Linked DNA regions of Notamacropus eugenii. The protein of the gene in region 2 binds, or shares a complex with, the protein of the main gene of each other region. Links are inferred from orthologs where the notes say so. Each region holds a gene or a part of one and is shown on either strand. Other genes may lie near its edges.

Region 1 (10,519 bases), on a different chromosome or scaffold from region 2:
ATTTCTTTATCGAAAAACTGCCTCTTCATATTCTTTGACCATCTATCCATTGGGGAATGACTCACATTTTTATATAGATTTAACAAAGTTCTTTGTATATTTGAGATATGAGACCTTTATGTGAGGAACTGATTGTTTTCCTCCAGTTTTCTACTTTCCTTCTGATCTTGGCTACATTTGTTATGATTTTTTTCTAGCTCCACATTTTGTTGTTAATTTAATTGGCATAGCATTGAATAGATAGGTTAATTTTAGTAAAATTGTTATTTTTATCATATTGACCCTACCTACCCCATGAACAATTTGTATTTCTTCATGTATTTAAATGTGATGTTATTTGTGTACTAAGTTGTTTTTTTTTTCATAGTTTTATTCATATAGATCCTACATTTGTTTTAGTAGGTGTATTCCCAGGTATTTTATACTGTCTACAGTTATTTTAAATGGGGTATGTCTAGCCTCTAGGATCCTATAGGAATGCTGATGATTTATGTGGGTTTACTTTATATTCTGCTACCTGGCTGAAATTATTATTTCAATTAACCTTTTAATTGAATCTTTAGGATTTTCCAAGCATAACATCATATCATCTGAATAAAGAAATAATTTTATTACCTCATTCCATATTCTGATTCCTTCTATTTCTTTTTCTTCTCTTATTTTGTTATTGTAGGATTTCCAATACAATATTGAATAATATTGGTGACAGTGGGCATCTATTTTCATGCCTGATCTTGCTGGGAAGGCTTCTAGCTTAGCCCTATCACAAATAATGCTTGCTACTGGTTTTAGGTAAATGCTTCATATCAATTTAAGGAAAAGTTCATTTATGCCTATACTTTCAAGTATTTTTAATAGACATTAGTGTTGTATATTATCAAATGTTTTTTCTGCATCTATTGATATTATCATATGATTCTTGTTATTTTTATTAGTGATATAATCAATTATGCTAATAGTTTTCCTTATGTTAAACCATCCCTGCATTCCTGGGATGAATTCTGCATCATCATAATGTATAATCTTTGTAATATATTGTTGTAATCTTTTAGATGGTATTTTACTTATGATTACATATGATCCATATGCATTAATGAAACTGGTCTATAATTTTCTTTCTCTGTTTTTACTTTTCCTGGTTTAGGTATCAATAGCATATTTATTTCATAAATAGGGTTTGGTAGGATCCCTTCTTTGTCTATTATCAGAAGAGCTTTCAATGTCAACCAGGGCTTTTTATAGTTGATCTTAGAGGTAATAAGGAGACACAGGAGTTTACTGAGAAGGGGACTCGTGTTCAGATCTGTGCTTTAGAAAATCCCTTCAGCTACTATTCAAGGGTGGATTAGAATTTTAGAATCAGAAGATCAAATAGGAGGCTATTGCAACAGTGAAGGTAAGAGTGATGAGGACCTGAGGTCACTGAGTGAGTAAAAAGGAGTCTTACATGAGAAAGGTGGAGATTTAAAAAAGAAAAAATATTTAACAACAGATGGAATATATGGTTGTGAAAGAATGAGGAGTTACTGCTGAAACAGGTTGAGAACCTGACTAGAACAAGAGCAGTGGGTAGAAACAGTAAAACTGGGAGGACAATGAATTTGGATGTGTTGTGTATGGGTTGCCTATCAAGAATCAGCTTGATGTTTGTTGTGGCAATACAGCTATCTCCCTAACCATTAACTCACTGTAATACTGAGACCTGTGGGATGGGATGAGGGGACATGGAAGAACCATGTGACTGCATTTCGTGTTGTATTACCTTGGGATTGAGTCAGGGAAAAAGAGTTCTTTTAGGAAGGGGGTGGAGACGGAGTAGATATGGAACGCATAAAGACTCCCTTGTTCAAAAATGTGTCTATCCTTTTGTTATGGGGGACTGGCATGTGCAAAGTATTGGGGACTGTATCTCCTCAAATGGGAGGGCTAGGGAGGCTGACTGTGGGAAAGTCACAGTGACATGTAATAGAAATGCCTCAAAGAGATCTTGGCATTGATTTAGACATTCTATAACTGGTTCGGCTAAATTTCTCTATCAGTGAAAAGAATATTATACAAATGTTCCAGGCTTGAGACCTGGGTTACAGCTAGTTGGTTGTTGTTCAGTCATGTCTGACTCTCGTGACCCCATTTGGGGTTTTCTTGACAAGGCTACTGGAGTAATTTGCCATTTTCCTTCTTCAGCTCATTTTACAGATGAGGAATTGAGGTCAGCATTATTAAGTGACTTGCCCAGGGTCACACAGCTAGGAAGTGTCTGAGGCCAAATTTACACTCAGGAAGATGAGTCTTTTTGACTCCAGGCCCAGCACTCTATCCACTATGCCACCCCGCTGCTCTGGGTTACAACATATTTACCAATTAGAAACTTTTTGGGGGAGAGGGGCAGGGAGAGAAATCAAATCAAAGCTAGAAAATATTGTTTCACACCTTAGAAGGAATTACTTCAATCAGACATCAAGACTAACACCTGGACCAGATTTCTTAACCTTTTTTTTGAGTCATGAACCCTTCTGACAACCTGGTAAAACCTATGAACCTCTCCTCAGAATAATGTTTTTAAACTCATTAAATAAAACATATAGGATTAGAAAGGAAACCAATTATACATGTACCACAGGCAGCCCTGACCCCTACCACCTGAAGGCCAAGGGTGTTAGATTTTACCATTTCACCCCTTTCTTAGGGTTCTCTGGTATCCTTAAGAGGACTGAGGGGTGTGTGCCATTGGCTCCAGCTCCAACTAATGGTATTCCCCCATATATAGGGGGTGTGATTCCCTGCATCCTAGTTCCTATTAGCCAGTAACAGCCATAGTAGCTTTTACACAGAAATCTTTACTTCAAAAGGTAGAATCACAAACATACAAATTTACTCCCCCATCATGTGGGAGGCATAATCCTCATCCTCTTTGGACCACCCCAGTGCCTGGAGAGGGGAAAGGAATTAGATTCATAGTTTAGCTCAGTTCCAAGACCAAAATCCCTCTGGGGCTGGAGTCCCCATGTACCCTGGCTTCTCTGGCCTTCCAAGCCAGGCTGGCTGGATGCACCACCCTGTCTGCAATCCTGGCCTCAATTTTGCCAGGGTTCAAACTCCTGGGGGAGGGGGATCATTTATGCAGCTAAGAACAAACAACATAGAACAAAAACACGCGCTCCCAGGTCCATTTCTCAGGGCGGACAGTCCTTTCCCTCTCACCAGTTCAGTTACAGGCATCCCCACCATGGGTAAACTGGGTAGATGTATAGTAGCAGAAAGAGATCAACCTGCTCAGTCTCACCGATTTTAAAGATGCAGGTAGCCAGTCAAAGGATACTAAACCCACTCTTGTGGTAGGGGAACCACTGGGCTCCATAGGCAAACTGGGAATGCTCAAAAGGCCCCTCAAGTAGACCTCTATGTTAGACAAACTGGGCATGACCCAACACACTCAGGTTATAGACAAATATAATTATCAAAATGTTTTTGTAAAAACAAATTTATAGACTCGAGGTTAAGAACCTCTTAATTTAGATGAATGTTGCTGGGCATTTACAGCAAGACTTTTGAATGCGAAAAGGTACAGAACAAGAAGCATTCTTGGTGAGATAAGGGAATTTGGATGGCCAAAGTCACTGTTGCTAACCTTAACTCAGAGACTACTGTACAATAAGCAATCTTCTAATGAAACCAGGTAGTATGAGCAGTTGATCTGGATCTTGGTTGAAAACTTTTTGCCTGACTTATCCAATTGTTCCCCCATTTTTTTTTCTTGATTTTGGCCAGTAACGTTTGGCCCCACAGTACTGTGAAGAGAACTGTTTCCAAATCCAGCATTTTACACAGGCTACTGATCTGCAGAAAGTGCAGATTGGTAGTTTTGGATTCTGCAATTCCCAGGACACTGGGTCAAGTAACTCCAAGGCTTTCTAAATGGTAAATTCCACAAATGCTTTCTGCCTCTGGAATCAGTGCTTTTTAACTATTAGTTAAAACTAGGTCATGTGAGGACAGTTGGAAAGATCAGAAAGTCAATCTAGTTGGTTAGGCATGCAAAGCTGTAATGCCATTTATTTTGGAAACCTGACACACAAATCCCACATGTATACCCAGCTCAAAGTGGCAATCTGTTGAGTATGCACATGGGAGCTGAGGGAAATGGTGGGCTGCAGTGATCTGTCAGGATTAATGTCACCCACCCTCCTGAAAGCGATGACGTTTGTAGATGGTCCTTAAGAGCTCTGGATGTGGAGCCAAAGGGTCTCACTTTGAATCCTTCCATTTATTCCCTCTTAGACCTTGGGCAAGTCACTTAACCTCACTGGACCCAATTCCTCATTTCTAAAAAGAAGAAAGAAAGAGAGAAAGGATGAACTCTGTAGTTCAGTTACAGGCATCCCCACCATGGGTAAACTGGGTAAGATGTATAGTAAAAGAAAGAGATCAACCTGCTCAGTCTCACCAATTTTAAAGATGCAGGTAGACAATCAAAGGATACTAAACCTACCCTTGTGGTAAGGGAACCACTGGGCTCCATAGGCAAACCGGGCATGCTCAAAAGACCCCTCAAGTAGACCTCTATGTTAGACAAACTGGGCATGACCCAACACACTCAGGTTATAGACAAATATAATTATCAAAATATTTTTGTAAAAACAAATATATAGACTCCAGCTTAAGAACCCCTGAATTTAGATGAATGACTAAAATCATTGACCCTTTAAACCAGAGATTGCTTTTCTTTTTTGTGTATATCATGGATTATGCTGCTAAAAATTAGCACCCAGCTATCTGATACAATAATATCCACAATAAACTTTAAAGCTTAACCTGCATTATTAGCATTTTAACATCAGTTAATTTAACACTGACATTTTAATATTCCATCACTCTTCAGTCTAGGCAATCAACCAAACAATAAATCATGCCCTGAATTGTAGTTTGCCAATTTGAGGTGTAAATGCTCACTCTGAAAATTTAACAGTGTACTAACTGCTTCCAGCAAGCCCATGCATGCACCCCCTTTGCAGTCTGGTGGAGTCTGGGGACTCTTCTCAGAATGTTTTTAAATGCGTAAAAATAGAAGTCATAGGACTACAAAGGAAATCAATCATTAATCAGCAAACATTTATTGAGCACCTACTGTGTGCCAGGTGCTGTGCTAACTGCTGGGGATACACAATAGTAACTAACATTGAACGTAGCACATAGTAAGCACTAGGCATGACACTAAGAGATTTACAATTGTCATCTCCTTTGATCCGCACAACAGTCCTGGAGGTGTGGGGGGGTGTATGTATGCACATGCATACGTGCGTATGTATACATATGCGCACATGTTTTACATAAAATATTATATATTTTCCACTTACAGATGAGAAAACTGAAGGAGAGGTTGTTAGGTGACTGGGCTGGGCTGGCACAGCTAGTAGATGTCTCAGGCCACATTTGAACTCGGGGATCTTCCAGGTCCCAAGCTCTATCCACCTCCCCAACTGACTTAAAAAAAAATTACACTGAACTACAGGTATACAAAGATTTTCAGACATATTCACAGATCCCTTTCTGTCTTTGATCCAATAGACTATTAGCCCTCGGTGTTCAGGGCTTGTTTCAGTTTTATGTGTTCTCTTCGGGGCTGGGTACACAGAAGCGTTTAATAAATGCGTGCTGAATGTTGAATGAATGACGCCCTCCCAGTTCCAAGGCTTGGGGCTCCATGAGAGCCGTAGTAGCAGGGCTGCGCGCAGAGGCTTCCGAGACGTCCCGGTGCCCCTCCTGACCACGCCGGCCACGCCCCTCCAGGCCACGCCCTCTCGGCCACGCCCCCTCCCGGCCACGCCCCTCCCGAGGAGCCCAGGCAGCGGCGGCGCCGCGGGACCAGTGCTAGCGGACCCGTTCACTCTTCTCTCAGACACAGCCAGCTCCGGCGAGCGGAGGCTTAGTGCTCAGTGAGCCTGCGCACGCCGCATGCGCCGTCCACCGCTTCCGTAGCTTTACGTACGCCAGTAGAGACGTGGCTGGGGAGGCGGTCTCTTGCGCAGGCGCACTAAACAGCCCCCGTTGAGTCCGCGCTGCCGGCCGGTCTGAGAAGGGGGCGGCGGGGCTAAGAGGCTCCGGGTCTTGACCGCGGCGCCCTCCCACCTGGGCGGCGGGGTCCTGAGCGCCGCGTGCGGGAGAAGGAAGGTTCTCTGGGGCGCTCTTCTCCTCCTTCCGCGAGGCGAATACCCGCCCGGCGGGGCGGCGGCCGCCAGAGCCAGGCCGGAGGCGGCAGGGCCCGGCCCCTTCCCCCCTCCCTCCGGCCGCCCCCCGCCGCCAGCATGAAGCTGGTGAGGAAGGATATCGAGAAGGACAACGCGGGCCAGGTGACCCTGGTGCCCGAGGAGCCCGAGGACATGTGGCACACGTACAACCTGTTGCAGGTGGGCGACAGCCTGCGCGCCTCCACCATCCGCAAGGTGCAGACCGAGTCCTCCACGGGCAGCGTGGGCAGCAACCGCGTGCGCACCACGCTCACCCTGTGCGTGGAGACCATCGACTTCGACTCGCAGGCGTGCCAGCTGCGGGTCAAGGGCACCAACATCCAGGAGAACGAGTACGTCAAGATGGGCGCCTACCACACCATCGAGCTGGAGCCCAACCGCCAGTTCACGCTGGCCAAGAAGCAGTGGGACAGCGTGGTGCTGGAGCGCATCGAGCAGGCCTGCGACCCGGCGTGGAGCGCCGACGTGGCCGCCGTGGTCATGCAGGAGGGCCTGGCCCACGTCTGCCTCGTCACGCCCAGCATGACCCTCACCCGCGCCAAGGTGGAGGTGAACATCCCCCGCAAGCGCCGGGGCAACTGCTCGCAGCACGACCGCGCCCTGGAGCGCTTCTACGAGCAGGTGGTGCAGGCCATCCAGCGCCACGTCCACTTCGACGTGGTCAAGTGCGTCCTGGTGGCCAGCCCCGGCTTCGTGCGGGAGCAGTTCTGCGACTACATGTTCCAGCAGGCCGTGAAGACGGACAACAAGCTGCTGCTGGAAAACCGCTCCAAATTCCTTCAGGTACAGTAACCCGCCTAGCTGAAGGGCTGACCCAGATTAGAGCTTAGGGGTTGGCATCAATGTTAATACGTTGTGTAGGAGGGAGGACGTTTAGAGGGATAGGGAAATGACCTTTTTCTTAATCATGTCCAGTCATCCTAAAATGTAAGCCTGGCACTAAGAGAAAATGAATGTCCCATTTTTTCCACATTCATGTTTTCTTACCCTTTTAGGGGAAAAATGATTTAGGTATGCTTAACAATAGGCAGTTTGATGCTAAGAGACTTAAATGATCAACCTGTGTTATGAAGTCCTTATGAAGCATCTCTACATAAGTAAATATACATAACTTTAATGTGTAAAATACATAAGTTTAATGCCTTGCATGTTTTGACATTTTGGTTAGGGTTGATGTGTTTAACGTTAATTGAACAAGTATGAGTTAACTTTTAAAAGGAAGAATATGTGCTCTAAAATATTTCATCCAACCTCTGTAATTGTGATTCCAGGTACATGCCTCTTCTGGGCACAAATACTCGTTGAAAGAGGCCCTTTGTGATCCTACTGTGGCCAGCCGCCTCTCAGACACCAAGGCTGCTGGTGAAGTCAAAGCCTTAGATGACTTCTACAAGATGTTGCAACATGAACCTGACCGAGCTTTCTACGGACTTAAGCAGGTGGAGAAGGCCAATGAGGCCTTGGCAATTGACACACTGCTCATCAGTGACGAGCTCTTCAGACACCAGGATGTAGCCACCCGAAGCAGATATGTGAAATTGGTGGACAGCGTCAGAGAGAATGCAGGCACAGTTCGGATATTTTCTAGTCTTCATGTATCTGGGGAGCAGCTCAGCCAGTTGACTGGAGTTGCTGCCATTCTACGCTTCCCTGTCCCTGATCTCTCTGACCAGGAGTCTGGTTCAAGTTCTGAAGAGGATTGATGATGGGCACCTCTAAAAAGACACTATGTACCACCCAACTCCTTCACCTACATAAACTAATATGTAAAACAAATATTCTCAAATCTAGTACGAAAGCTGCTAGGGAGGTTCAGTTTCATTTACGTGAGTGGGTTTTTCTTGTCAGGCTAGTCTCTTTGTATTGGAAGACCAATACAACTAGAAAATAAATTAAGATAAAAGTAATGTCTAATTTTATCCTTATTCACATTGACAATTACTTTTAGGAAAAAAATGGTTTAGAAATACTAATAATATGCAATTGATACTTAGGATAAAAGTTTTTACATCAGCTGCATTCACTGTGTACTGTACTGGGGTTAAGCTACTGTTTCTATCTCTTCTTCATATTTTCAGAGTGCATTGCAGGAATTTTACTTAGTCCTCACAAATAACTAAACTGACAGTGTTTTTTGGAAGATGGATAGAAAATTCACCAAAGAAAACCTAAAAACTGACACTATTGTTTAAGGAAATTACAGGAATTGAATGAAATCATTTCTAACATGCCAAGAAGCCATTGTGCTTTATCCTTAAAAGTTAACTTTATGCTATTTGGTGCACTACTTAACCTACTATTCATAGAGTTTTAGAGCAGGAAGGAACCTTTGTAAATGTAACACTTTTATTTTAGAAATGATAAACTCAGGTCCAGAGAAGTTAAAGTGACTTTCTTGAGGCCAAGCAGGTAATTATTAGCAAAGATCATAGTGGAATCCAATTTTGACTTCATGTGCAGTGGTCTTTCTTTTTACTTATTTTGATTTGTCAAATTTATTAATAGTTGTAGTATTAGAATTTCAAGTTGACTAACTGGAAGCTTTAAAGCAGTATTTTCTAGATTCTAAACAGTTTTCATTTAGTCATGCAATTGCATCATGATTGAATAGAGCCTGTATGTGGAAAAATAATAAGATATGTTTGACTTTTTTATAATTGAAAAGGGTTGCTAGGTAATTCTCTAGTTCACTAAAATGTCAGTGAATGATCTATCCCTGTTTGAAGTGGTAGATTATATTTTGTTTATGGTCTGTGGGTATCAAGTGGAAAGTTTTAGACATTCATTAACTCCTGATCAGTCCAAAATGATATGATTTATTTCTTGTTCTGACAGTTGACATATGTAAATGAAATCTACTGATAACACGATCAATTTTAGTATTTTTCAGGGGCCTTCTGAAAACTATCTTCACAAAGTTGCTAACCCTGAGTAAAAATAGATCTTCTAAATCACACACACACACGCTTTAAATAAGCTTATATTGTCCTTGACAAAATGAATGGCATTAAGCTACTATAACAGATATGATGGTACTTTAACTTAACCTCTAGAACACTTCATTTTCAAATGCAGCAAAGCAATAGGATGATACCTCTATCGTTAGCTTATGCTAACCGAATATGGCAGATCATTAATATGTAGAGATTTTGATAGTTTGACATTGTGCATATATTAATTACTGTTTCAGTTTTGTTGATCTTAATTTGAACTTTGTTTGCAGTGAAAATAACTGGATTATTCATGTGAAAGTTGTACTAAAAAATATCCAATAATTTTGACCATTGCATCACACTTCCCAGGAAGGCATGTCCTATAGTCCAGAAAATTCTGCCTTAAGCAGATTTTTTTCTGTTGTCAAATGACCAATAATGTGCTCACATGTAGGCCATGCTTTAAACAAAATTAAGTCTTTTAAAGATACCCATAACAGTATTAAGATAATTTGCATCATTGTAATTTTGAGGGGCCATCTGGAAGTCAGGAAGGCTTGGATTTAAGTACAGTTTCTGACATGGTGTTCTCTTGGGCCTGTCATTTAATTTCAGGCAACTCTTTCAGACTAAATTGCTAAGTAGTTTCTGGTCTACTTTGATTTTGTCCAGGGAATTTACTCATTAAGAATTCTCTGTATCAGTGAAATCACAGGCAGTACTACCCCACCCCCATCAAAAAAGCATTTAAATCAGTAAGGTCTGCTTGTGTTCAGATTTTAATTCTTTTCTCTCTATAGTAATCAAATACATACCTGAAAAAGTTCTCTAATATTTAATAACTTGTATGCCAGATAATGAAATTAGCGTAAAGATTTTTATTTCCAAATCTGTTTAAAAATAGGAGTGTTTTGGGAGTTAGTTTTCTTTTAAATCTGAGCAAAGCAGACCATTGAATGTTTTATGTGAAGAGCATCTGGAATTTGCAGGATTCAGAAAAGGAGAGGATTCCTAAGAGAGATTCTGAGAGTAGGTTAGTGGAAGATCTCTTTAGGGTCCTCAGATTTAAATATGCCATTGATTAAGAATAAAACTTTTCAAGTAATGTAATGGTTCCTTTTATGCTCTTAAAATTCTTGCTGCCTTTAATAACTTAAAAACGTGCCATAGCTTATACCTTTCAGAAATATATTGGTGTACAAATATTTATCATTTTTCAGTTGGAACAGTTTGAAACTTGTTTTGGTTTGCCTTATCTTGAATATCTGAAATGCAATGGTGCTTTACTTCAGTATGCTCAACTTGAAAAAAAAGAAAAAGACAAGTTTAGGAAAGTTCTTG
Region 2 (10,815 bases):
GGGTATATGAACTTCTAAAAATGTTTTAATGATTATTCAATATAACTGAATTGCTGTGTAATCCTATGTAGTTTATTAAAAAATATTATTCCGAAAAAGGGTCCATAGGCTTCACCAGAGACCTACAGTTAAGAAAAAATGGTTATGAAGTCCTGCTCTAAAGTTGTCCATCCTCTGCCTCCACTACTACCTAGATTAGCTCCAGGATCGGTCTCCTCGGGGAGCAACCTCAACACCTAATCAATGTTATTTCCAGTTCTGCCTGCCTTCCACCCTCAAACCCAGATCACTGCTCTTCACCCTACAATCCTAAACTTGTCCTAATACCTATAACGAAAAGCCCAGAATAGGTAGGCTGTAGCTTAAGGGTGAAAATAAAGGGTTTTAGCCATGAATAAATTTCTCTAAGAATTAATACTGGCAACTTGACCTTTAAATTCTGGAGCATCCTATCCCAACAAATCCCTCCAAAATCCTCAGTAGTTCTACCCCCCAAATCACAAAGGCTCTACCAGCATTTAGATTACCAGAAGGAAATGGAGAGCTATGCCTCTGGTTTCTTCAGGTGGAATCCCAAATATATTTACCAAAATAAACATTAATGTCAGTTACACTCTGTTGCAGTACTATTCGTAAAATGTTATACTTCAGAGATCCATATACAAACACCAGTCTCCCCTCCCCCATCTCTAATTTATACAGTCTTAAATGACTTGCATATGACTTAGGGAAATGACTTATCAATGTCAGAATTTCAGTTCAATTCTTCTTTCCTGACTCCAAGTCTAGGACTCTCTATTCACTAAACTACGCTCTTCAGGTACATTACGGACTAAATAAAGTTTGTGGGACAGCTCTGGAATCTAATCACCATTTTCATAACACCATTTCTCTGCAGAAATGCATTCTAAAGTACAACCTACATGCAAATTTTTGGAATTGGCAGGCTACATTAACAGGTTTATAAAATGCCTCAATATTAGCAATATACAAAAGATTTAACGTAGAACTCTGCTCCAGCCTTTGTCCTGTCCCTTAAAGAAGAAAATTAAGACCAAAGAACTGCTTTTGATGTAAGATAACTACAACTAAAGAAAAGGATTACAGTATTGCCTCAAGCTTTACTTATAAGACCACCCACAAAACAACTCTGAAATGAAAAATCAGTCCTCTAATATTTGGGAGTATATACATAATACGCATATTATATATATATAAATTATCCAATAACTACTAACAGAGAATGAAAAGTAAAAAGCTTTGCCAAAAACACATGTGAAGTTCCGTAATATTACTCAACATATTGCCATTCCAGCAGAAGCAAATTAGAATGAGTCTCATAAGACTTAAAACTAGAAGAAACCTGATAAATCATGTTGCAAATCTGAAGTGGCAGAGGCAGGATTCTCACACGCCGTTAACATGACTACAGAACCAATATTCATTTCACTAACATAGCATTCCACACCACCAAAGAAAAGTATTTCTCATCTCCAAAACATATAAGAAAAACCATACACATCATTTTTCTACAAGTTGTTTAAAATCTTAAAAGGCAGAAATAAAATCATATGGTTTTATTTATAGGTAAAACTATTTAACCCATGTGTTCAAATGCATAATTAAGTATTTTTCTCCCAATTCAATCCAACTGTATGTATTAAGTACCTCTTACGTATGGGGAACTGTTGCTAGATTCCAAGACTACAAAGACAAAATGAAAAACAGTCCTCGACTTCAAAGAGCTTATACAATTCGGCTTTCTTTTGATACCTTCACGGTAGAAAAAAAGTACTTTTATCTACCGTTTTTTCAAAACCCCATATCAAGACTCTGAATACGTACCTGTTGATGGTGAAATACAATAATCATCCTCTACAGACTGGCCATAGAGATCATCATCTTCAAAATCTAAATGAAATATACAACAAGTTAACACAAATATCAAGTGATCTTATTCTAATCAATGATGCTTTCAACATTAAAATAAACACATGTCTATGTTAAAAGGACCCTGGCATATTTTATTCTAACAACTATTTCAAAGACTGAAACTATCTTTAAAGACTGGAGTACCTTTTCAATGGGATCTGCTTTCTACAGTTCTTGGTACAAAAAGTATGAGTATTTTGGAAACATATAGGACTTTTCTATCTTTGACCTCCTACCCATACATATCCAGTAATGGAATCAAAAGGTTGAACAGTTCCAGTTTATTTCACTCAGCTGTCAGCATATACCTATGTCACCCTCCCCCCCATTTCATAAACTCCAGTGACTCCATGTTATTTATATGATCCAAATATAAATATCAACAGTCTCAGATATGCAGACGATACCCTTCCGATGGCAGAAAGTGAAGCTGAAATTAAGAATCCTCCTGAGGAAGGTGAAAGAAGAGACCATAAAAGTTGGTTTTAAATTTAACAACAAAAAACTAAGATCTTGACAACTGGTCCCATCACTTCCTGGCAAAGACGGAGAAAAACTGTGGCACATTTTATATTCTTGGGTTCATTTTATATTCTTGGGTTCATTTTATATTCTTGGGTTCAAAGATCACTGCAGAAAGCAGCAGCAGCCATGAAATTAAAAGATGCTTGCTTCTTGGAAGGAAAGCTATGGCAAATCTGAACAGCATACTAAAAAGCAGAGATATTACCTTGCCAACAATGGTACATATAGTCAAAGCTATGGTTCTTCCAGTAGCAACATGGCTGTAAGAGCTACAGCTTTTGAACTGTGGATCTAGAAAAGATTTTTAGAGTCCCTTGGACAGCAAAGAGATCAAATCATTCAGTACTTTAAGAAATTAATTCAGGCTATGCACTGGAATGTGAAATACTAAAGCTGAAGTTTAAATACTTTGGTCACATAATGGGAAGATAGGAATCATTGGAAAAGACCCTGAAGTTTGGAAAGACTGAAGGCAAAAGGAAAAGGGGACAGCAGATGATGAGATGGCGAGACAGTGTCATGGAAACAATGAAAGTAGTTAACTTAGCAGCACTTAAGTACTAAGTAGAGCTTAGTAGTAAACTAAGGACTAGGTATGGATGTCTACCTTAGAACAATTTAGGGTCTTAATAATCCACGAATCCCAAAAAGGTCCATGAAATGAGCAAGAATTCAGAAAGTGGGATCCAAGAATAAAAAGGGGGTAACTGGTATATATTTCATAAATTTTTATCTTTAAAAGTAAATACCACTAACTCATAAAAATGAGTTAAGTATCAATCAGAAAGGAATCTGATTTTCAGACTGAAAAATTCTCAGAAGAAGAAGAAGAAAAACAGGGGGAAAACCACCTCTGGGCATAGAGAGAACAGAAAACTAAAATTTACCATTTTAAATGAAACCAGCAAGTTTAATTTTAACAAGTAGCTCAGCTAAAACATATCAAGTAATTCATTCATTCTTTAGCAATTTTTTTGAAAAAAAGTAAACAAAAAAACATTTCAAAATAAAATGACTTTCCTTAAAAAAAAAATTCACCATGCTGACTCATGATTTAGGGGGTTTTAGTTATTGTAGAAAACAAATGTCATCACAAACACCTAAGACAAAACAAGATGATCAAAATTGTTCCTGCCACAATTAAAGTGGTTATGTCACAGCTGTTCCAAAGAAAACATGGCAACCTGAACTCAGGAGGGTTAGTAAAATGAGAAAAAATTTAGGTGTCAAGTTCAAAAACAAAATGTATAAATATAGAAATAATTAAGTCCATTCCTATGTTGTTGTGTTTTCAGCAGACCTCCCACTTAATGTGATGCAGTTTACGCAAACATCTGTGATCTACAGCACTCAGATTCAAGCTTTAGCAATATCAGAAGCACAACAAATCATAATGGGTACCTAACAGATTTACAACAAAAACTGTGTAAGTATATGTTGTAGTTGCTCTACGATACCAACATTTAAGGATATGTAATGAATCTCTACCTTCCCTTTTAAAATTCTACTGTGGGTAACTATATTAAAGAAACATTGAGTGCCTACTCTATGCTGAGAACTGTAGCTAGAGAATACAGAAGTGAAAGGAAAGGATCTGCTCTTGTGACATTTAAATTTAATAGAGGAAAAAGTTATATAAATTACCAAATTTGCTAAATTGCTCCCTGAATTGGTTTACATATTTTTAAATAATTAGATCCACTTATTTGACATCCACTGTGTAAGAAAGTACTTTCTGTCATCACACAAATTCATTCCAAGTTCCTCCTTTATACAACAATTTTGGATTTGGTGTACAGGCCCAAATTCACCACAGCCACGACCATGACTTGTAGTACAGTCTTTGTTTAGGATCTCCTCTCGGTCTCATCTATTCTCATATGAATGTCACTGATCATTTCAGTTTCTTTTCTTTGGACTTTTATCATCACCTGTTGATTCTGAACTCCTAATTTAACAAGAAATTCAAATGGAACAAGGCCAGAAGATAATCAATTCGTTCATACAATTCTTCAGTGCGCAAGTAAACGAGAAGACGTATCTTTCGAAGTGTGATACTGAACATTTTGACTATGCATATTTATACCAACACAACAACCCTAAAACAAAAACTTCACTTGGAGAGTATTACAAAAAGCTATCCCCAAACTAGGTGGTGGTTTGTGTTTGGTTTTTTTTTTTAATTGGTGGAGCTCGTTTTTTTTTTAAAGGAGATGGAGAGTGCAAAAAAGACAACTAACGTGGTGGGGAGGGGGCAGGCACTATGGGTGCATGCACACACCTTAAAGAAGTCACCCTGGAAAAGCATCATTAAGTTAATAAACGTTATTAAGCGCCTACTACGTGGCAGGGGCTAAGCACAACCAAACCCTTACCTTGGTCAAAGTCCCACCCGACAGTCTACGCGCGCCCCCCACGTAACAAAAGAAAAAGGAGGACCACGAGTGGCACCCCCCCAGCAGCTGGGTCACCCTCTTTCCTAGCTTTGACAAATCTTTCCCTTATCCAATGTGTTTATGCCAAATCATACCCCACCAGTTTGTCCTGGCCTCCACGCTCCGAAATCATCACTCCGGGGCCCTAGGTGCCCAGAGAATCCGGAGGGAAGCGGCCGAAACAGAGGCCAGGAGCAAAGCAGACGGTCAACCCCGCAGGGCCGGAGGCCGCGGCCCAGGGGGGCAGGGGGAGGGACCGGGCTTTGTACCCACCTTCATCGTAGTTGTAGCCTCGAACGTTCCTGTGCCGCGCCATGGCGACTCCGGCGTCCGCTCCACCACCGCGCCCCGCTGCCTTGGCTCCCTTAGACTACCTTTCTCAGATGCGGTCGCGCCAGCCACTGCGGCCCGAAGAGCGCTCGGACGCCATGTTGATTTCCGGCAAAGCTCTCCGCAAAGGTTCTGCGCACGCGCGATGACGCATTGGACGGCGACGTCTCCTCAAAACGCATGCGCGCTGAGACTCGATGCACTCCACCCACTCCCTACTCCCCCGACGCCATGGCAATGATTGGTAGCAAGCGAGAAGGGGGGGATTACGTACTGGAGCTCCGCCCACACGCCTCGAGCCTGCAAGAGACGGGGCTGCCCCAGCACCGACCTTGTCACGTGGTGCCGCCTGGATTCTTCCACACGTGAGATTTATTTGGTTCCAACTACTTAGTGGGAGGTGACGGGAATAGAGCAAAACTGGCCCGAGTTGTCGTAAGAGTTAATCAGTTGTTTTGAGATATTTGGGATAAATGTGGAGATGGTAGAATAAGTCAGAAGTTGGAAAAAAAGTGAGCTTTTTGGCGTAGACGGATGAGAATGTAAAGTAGACCAGCTCTCTGCAGTGGGGCTGGTACACCCCCTCCCAAACCTCCCCTCCTCCCCTCCCCCCTCCCCCCATTCCCACTCCTCCCTTCCCCCTCCCCTCCAGTGGTTTGCTTGCTGATGGTTAAAGAAGATTGCTACCCTCTCTTGATGGACTAAATATGCAGACGGAACACACAGTTTCGGATCTGGCCACCATGGGAATGTATTTTTCTCGGCCATGCGTCTTTGTTGCAAGAGTTTGGGGTTTCGTTATTTTTTCCCTCCAGTGGGTGGAGAAAATTAATGTTTTATTGAATTTTTAAATTAAAAATAAAGCTTATTGTATTGGGACTTGACCCGAAGTATTCCTCACTTCAAAACTAAGTGGCTATCCACTGTACAGTGTGGCCTTTCCTAATCTTTCTTATCATAAGCTAAGTTTTGCTGTTAGCTATCACTTTTGTACTTTCCTGGAGGAGCTGAGTGGTAGCAGTTTGGACATTTGCCCTACAAGGAAAGCAGAAGAGAGAAAAAAATTATAGCTAAATGGAAGGATGGTTCCTGGTTTATCCTTGCAGAAGCAAAGACTGGAATTGGTTTTATCCAACATCTAAAAAGAAGAATAAACAAGCATCTCTAAGGAAGAATGAATACTTCCATTAGACTTTTACATGGACTCATATTGCATTTATGAGTATTTACCAAAAAGACAACCACGAAAATAATTACAGTTGATGTGCCAACATCTTTTGAAGATGAAAAAGTAGAAAAATTTCATGAAGTACTCACCTACAAATTAGATCGTGTGTTTTAATGCTTTGATTTTAAAGCAAACTATGCATAGGGAAGAATATTGGCAAATATGCTTTCAAGGGTGACATCTAAGAGGCCTGAGATTCATAGAATATGCAGGACTTTCATGCTGTGTATTTTAGAGAAGGGAACTGGGAGATGCTAGACAGAGTAAGTATCAAATCAACTCGCAAAAAAATGAAATGGTATTTTAACAGGCAGGAAATGACCGGTCACTTCTGGAATCATCTCCAAATCAATGTACAATTAGATTGCCTGTTTGTTCAAGCAAAAATAAAAATCAATACAAAATTAGAAAAACAAAAATAAGGAAATGTCTAAAAGAACATTTACCCAAACTATTACTATTTCCTAAGTTTAATTGATATGAATCAGTTGATCACAAAAATAAGAACAAAGAATTCTATAAGCCAGCTCATCCAGAAAATAACTAGCATTTACATAATGTTTTAAGTTTTATAAGGCATTTTACAAATTACTACGATCTCATTTTATCCTCCCAACAATCCTGATATGTGGATGCTGTTATTTTTTCCCATTTTATTGATATAGAAAGAGAGGCGGATAGAACTTAAATAATTTGCCTAGGGTCACACAGCTAATAAGTATCAAAGACTAGATTTGAACTCAGGCCTTCCTGACTCCAAAAACAGCATTCTTTCTACTGCCCCTGTTTCACTGACAAAAGACATAACTTTGTTCCACAACCCTATGATTATTGAGATCAGCAGGGAAGGGTCTGCTCATTGTAACAATTTTCTACTGTTACGGAGTATGTCTAACATTGTCCAAATCAAAGACAAATTAACTATAGAGGGTGAAGTCTTTAGATAGTCCTGTTACAGGGTTGGGGAACCTGTGGCCTCAAGGACACATATGGCCTTCTAGTTCCTTGGGTTGGGCCTTTTGACTGAGTCCAAGTTTTACAGAATAAATCCTTTCATTAAGGGGATTTGTTCTATGAAGTTTGGATTCAGTCAAAGGGCCATACTTGAGGAGCTAGAGGTCCAGTTCCCCACCTCATGACATTATACTAATTGCATCAAGCCCCAGAATATTACAGAGCCTCAAAAATGAGACCCATACACAGGAAAAACCAACCAAATGAAGAATGCCTATTGTCCAAACTATTTATGGAGGAGAATTAACAATCTTGAGGCATGGTTCATCAGTAAATATATATTGGACGTGTCCTGTAAGGGGACAATTATCTTGGACCAGTACTGAGAAAGAATAGAACAGGTTGAATTACTTTGAGTACATTGTGTAGTGATCTTAATTATCCCAAGCTTCTCCTTGAAACATGGGCCCATTTCCTTGATGTAAGTATTCTTCTGGTGGTGTTATATGCCTGAAGTCATGGAGTACCAGAGTCAATTGGGAATTAAAGTTGAAAAGAGCCCAAAAACAATGGAGAGGGATGTATAGTGGGTGTGAATATGCCACTAATGACAAAAGCAATAGGAAAGGATGGAATCAGATGTATGATGGAAAAAGAAGATGTACTAGTCACACATTAAGAGCCATGTGGTAGATAAACCATGAATATTACTTTGGAATCTATCTAGTGTCAAAAGTTCTAACAAAAGACCTCCATCATGTTTGGTGGACCCCTTGCAGAGTTCTTATGGGAGAATATGAACTAGAATTGCATAGGATGAGAAGGCATGGATAAGTTATGATCCACACCAACAGAGGGAGTACCCACATCAGCATCATCACAGATCGAATGAAGTATAGGATATTGCTGAAGGATGTTTTTTGTTTTTTTTTACTAGTGCTGCTAAAAACGCAAAAAGTTAACTATTTAAAATCCATGCTAAAGAAAGGGAGAGACAATGAAAATAGTCCAAACATGGGGTAAGCCTCAAAATATTTGTATTCAGCGTGATCATTATTTGTTTCCCTCAGTTTTATTTTTTTATATTTCTTCATAGACTAATCTCAGAATTTATGTTCCTTGACCATACACAATTAGAAAAAAAAAAGAAGCCAAGAATGGCAGGTCAATATGAAAAATTGTTAAAGACTATACAAAGCAGATAATCTACTTGGAGATGCTTAAGGATGTCATAATGGAATATGTTGAAGTTAGTTACTACATCCACAATACTTCTGTGTTGTGTATATTAATACCTGATTTGTCCTCCTTTATATGGTAGCATATAAAACATTGGTCACAAATAAATAAACAAGTGTTCAAAGGGGAATTTTCCTGTCACATTATCTTTGTTAGAGAAAAATTTCCTTTAATTAGTTAAAAAACTCCTTTAAGTCAATATAATTTTTCTTCTGTAAAATTACGTGAAGAAAAGAAGCACTTTGTTATATATCAGGAATTCATGTGAACTGAAATTAATCCAGCAAGATACCTCTAATTCTTAGTCTTTCCCCAATCTTGTATAATTTTAGACCAATTCTGAATCAAAATTTAGGACTTCTTATTATAGCCAAAAAGATCTTAGCTCCTTACCATTGTAACATTAAGATGATTCTTACTCAATAGAAATTGGTAATTCCATTTCTTCATTTTCATTAAAAAATAAAGCACCAGAATTGCATTTTTCCTGGCTACTCTTAACAGCCCAGACATCATCATAATTACCTAAATCTATTGAATGCTATGAAATCAGAACCCAGAATTTCAGAACTGGAAGAGACTTTTAAAGCCATCTTGCCCAAATTATGCTTGTGAAAAAAATTCTCTCTACAATTGACCTGACAAATGGCCATGCAGCTTTTGCTTGAAGACCTCCAGTAATAAGATTCTTAACCTAGTGTCCATGAGCTTTAAACACACACACACACACACACACACACACACACACACATATTTGGTTTCCTTTTAATCCTATGTATTTTATTGTTATGCACTTAAAAACATTCTGAGAAAGGGGGTCCGTCAGCTTCCCCATGCCACCAAAAAGGTCCATAATGCAGAAAAGATTAAGAATTCCTACCGTAGTAAAAGGGAGCCCACTGCCTTCCAAACAGCATATTGCACTTTGGAGTAACTAATCATTAGGAAGTTTATCTTTCTACAACGTCCTCCCTGGGATTTCCACTTATTGCTCCTGGTTTTACACTCTAGCACCAAGTAAAACAAATGTAGTCCTTCCATGTGAATATCCATCAAATGCTGATGAAATAACTATCATTCCCACCTCAACTCCTTTCACCTCTTCAGACTAAACTTCCTAACTTCCTTCAATCCATCCTAATATTCCATAATGTGTAGGCTCCCTCATCATTTTTGTTGCTCTCTGGACATGCACCAGTTTAGCAATCTTATTCCTGCAGTCCAATTGCCACAAACATGCAGGTAAGCCCAAGGACCCTAGGAACTGGGACACCTCCAGGCTACTGGCACTTCTAACCCAGCCTCAAAGCTCTTCCTAAAGCAGGAAAGCAACCTCTGTCAAGAAAAGATGAGCCATCCTCACCAAATGCTAATCAACTGCCCCTATGGAACAGACAAGTCATTCTAGTTGAAGCAGCAAGGTACCCTGAGGCAGAGAGAGAAGGCAGCTTATTTCAAATGAATCAAACCACCACTACTATCTTGACTACTATCTCCAAATGCTGACCAAACTAACTGGTAATATGGCCCCCTCCTGCACAGATGCTGAAGACCTGGAGAGGAGAATTCTCACCACCAAAAATCTTGGCATTAACAAGTGCTTCAACATCAGAAACACACAGCTTCATCAGTGAGAATAGCACTAAAGAAGATGTATTACCCTCTGCTTCCCCTCAGCACCTTACCATCTTTTAATGATTCTTTACTTGACAGAACCACTGAAAGCATGATCAAACAAATCCATGTTATTCAGGAAAGCTGAAACCAATTTGCAAAAGAGATTCAGTAGATGAATTTTAATTTCTGTGGATTATTTCAGGGCAGACAGATGAAGGTAATATATATTACCTTCATATATAACATTCATCTATAATTCATATATGAATTATAATTTAATTCATATATGAATTATAGTTTGATATAATTCATGAATGAATTATAATTGAATAATTAATTTACAATATATATATGCATATATCTGGAGCTATAAAATTTAAAACACAGATTTTTGTAAGAACTCAGTAGAACTCATGTTATCATGTAATTAGGACTGTGTTATTCAATGGTTGCATATGAAATTCTGGTTAAAAACTGCTATCTCCCTATATTTCCTGATCTCCCTTAAGCCCCAACCAAAGGACTCAAACAGCTTTCTTTTCTGTGAAAATATAA

What was found. The genes of interacting proteins can lie anywhere in the genome.
Region 1: HBS1L (region 2) and PELO share a complex: the UniProt entries of both Homo sapiens proteins name them as parts of the pelota-HBS1L complex. The link is inferred for Notamacropus eugenii from reciprocal best matches to the Homo sapiens genes HBS1L and PELO.

Annotation. Positions count from the first base shown.
Region 1 is NC_092875.1:410,127,296-410,137,814, reverse strand, and holds the start of PELO (protein pelota homolog), read left to right. Parts: upstream 1-5,972; 5' UTR 5,973-6,302; coding exon 6,303-7,028; intron 7,029-7,516; coding exon 7,517-7,948; 3' UTR 7,949-10,519. UniProt on the Homo sapiens protein: Component of the Pelota-HBS1L complex, a complex that recognizes stalled ribosomes and triggers the No-Go Decay (NGD) pathway.
Region 2 is NC_092873.1:221,008,354-221,019,168, forward strand, and holds the start of HBS1L (HBS1-like protein), read right to left. Parts: upstream 5,305-10,815; 5' UTR 5,209-5,304; coding exon 5,166-5,208; intron 1,912-5,165; coding exon 1,846-1,911; intron 1-1,845. UniProt on the Homo sapiens protein: GTPase component of the Pelota-HBS1L complex, a complex that recognizes stalled ribosomes and triggers the No-Go Decay (NGD) pathway.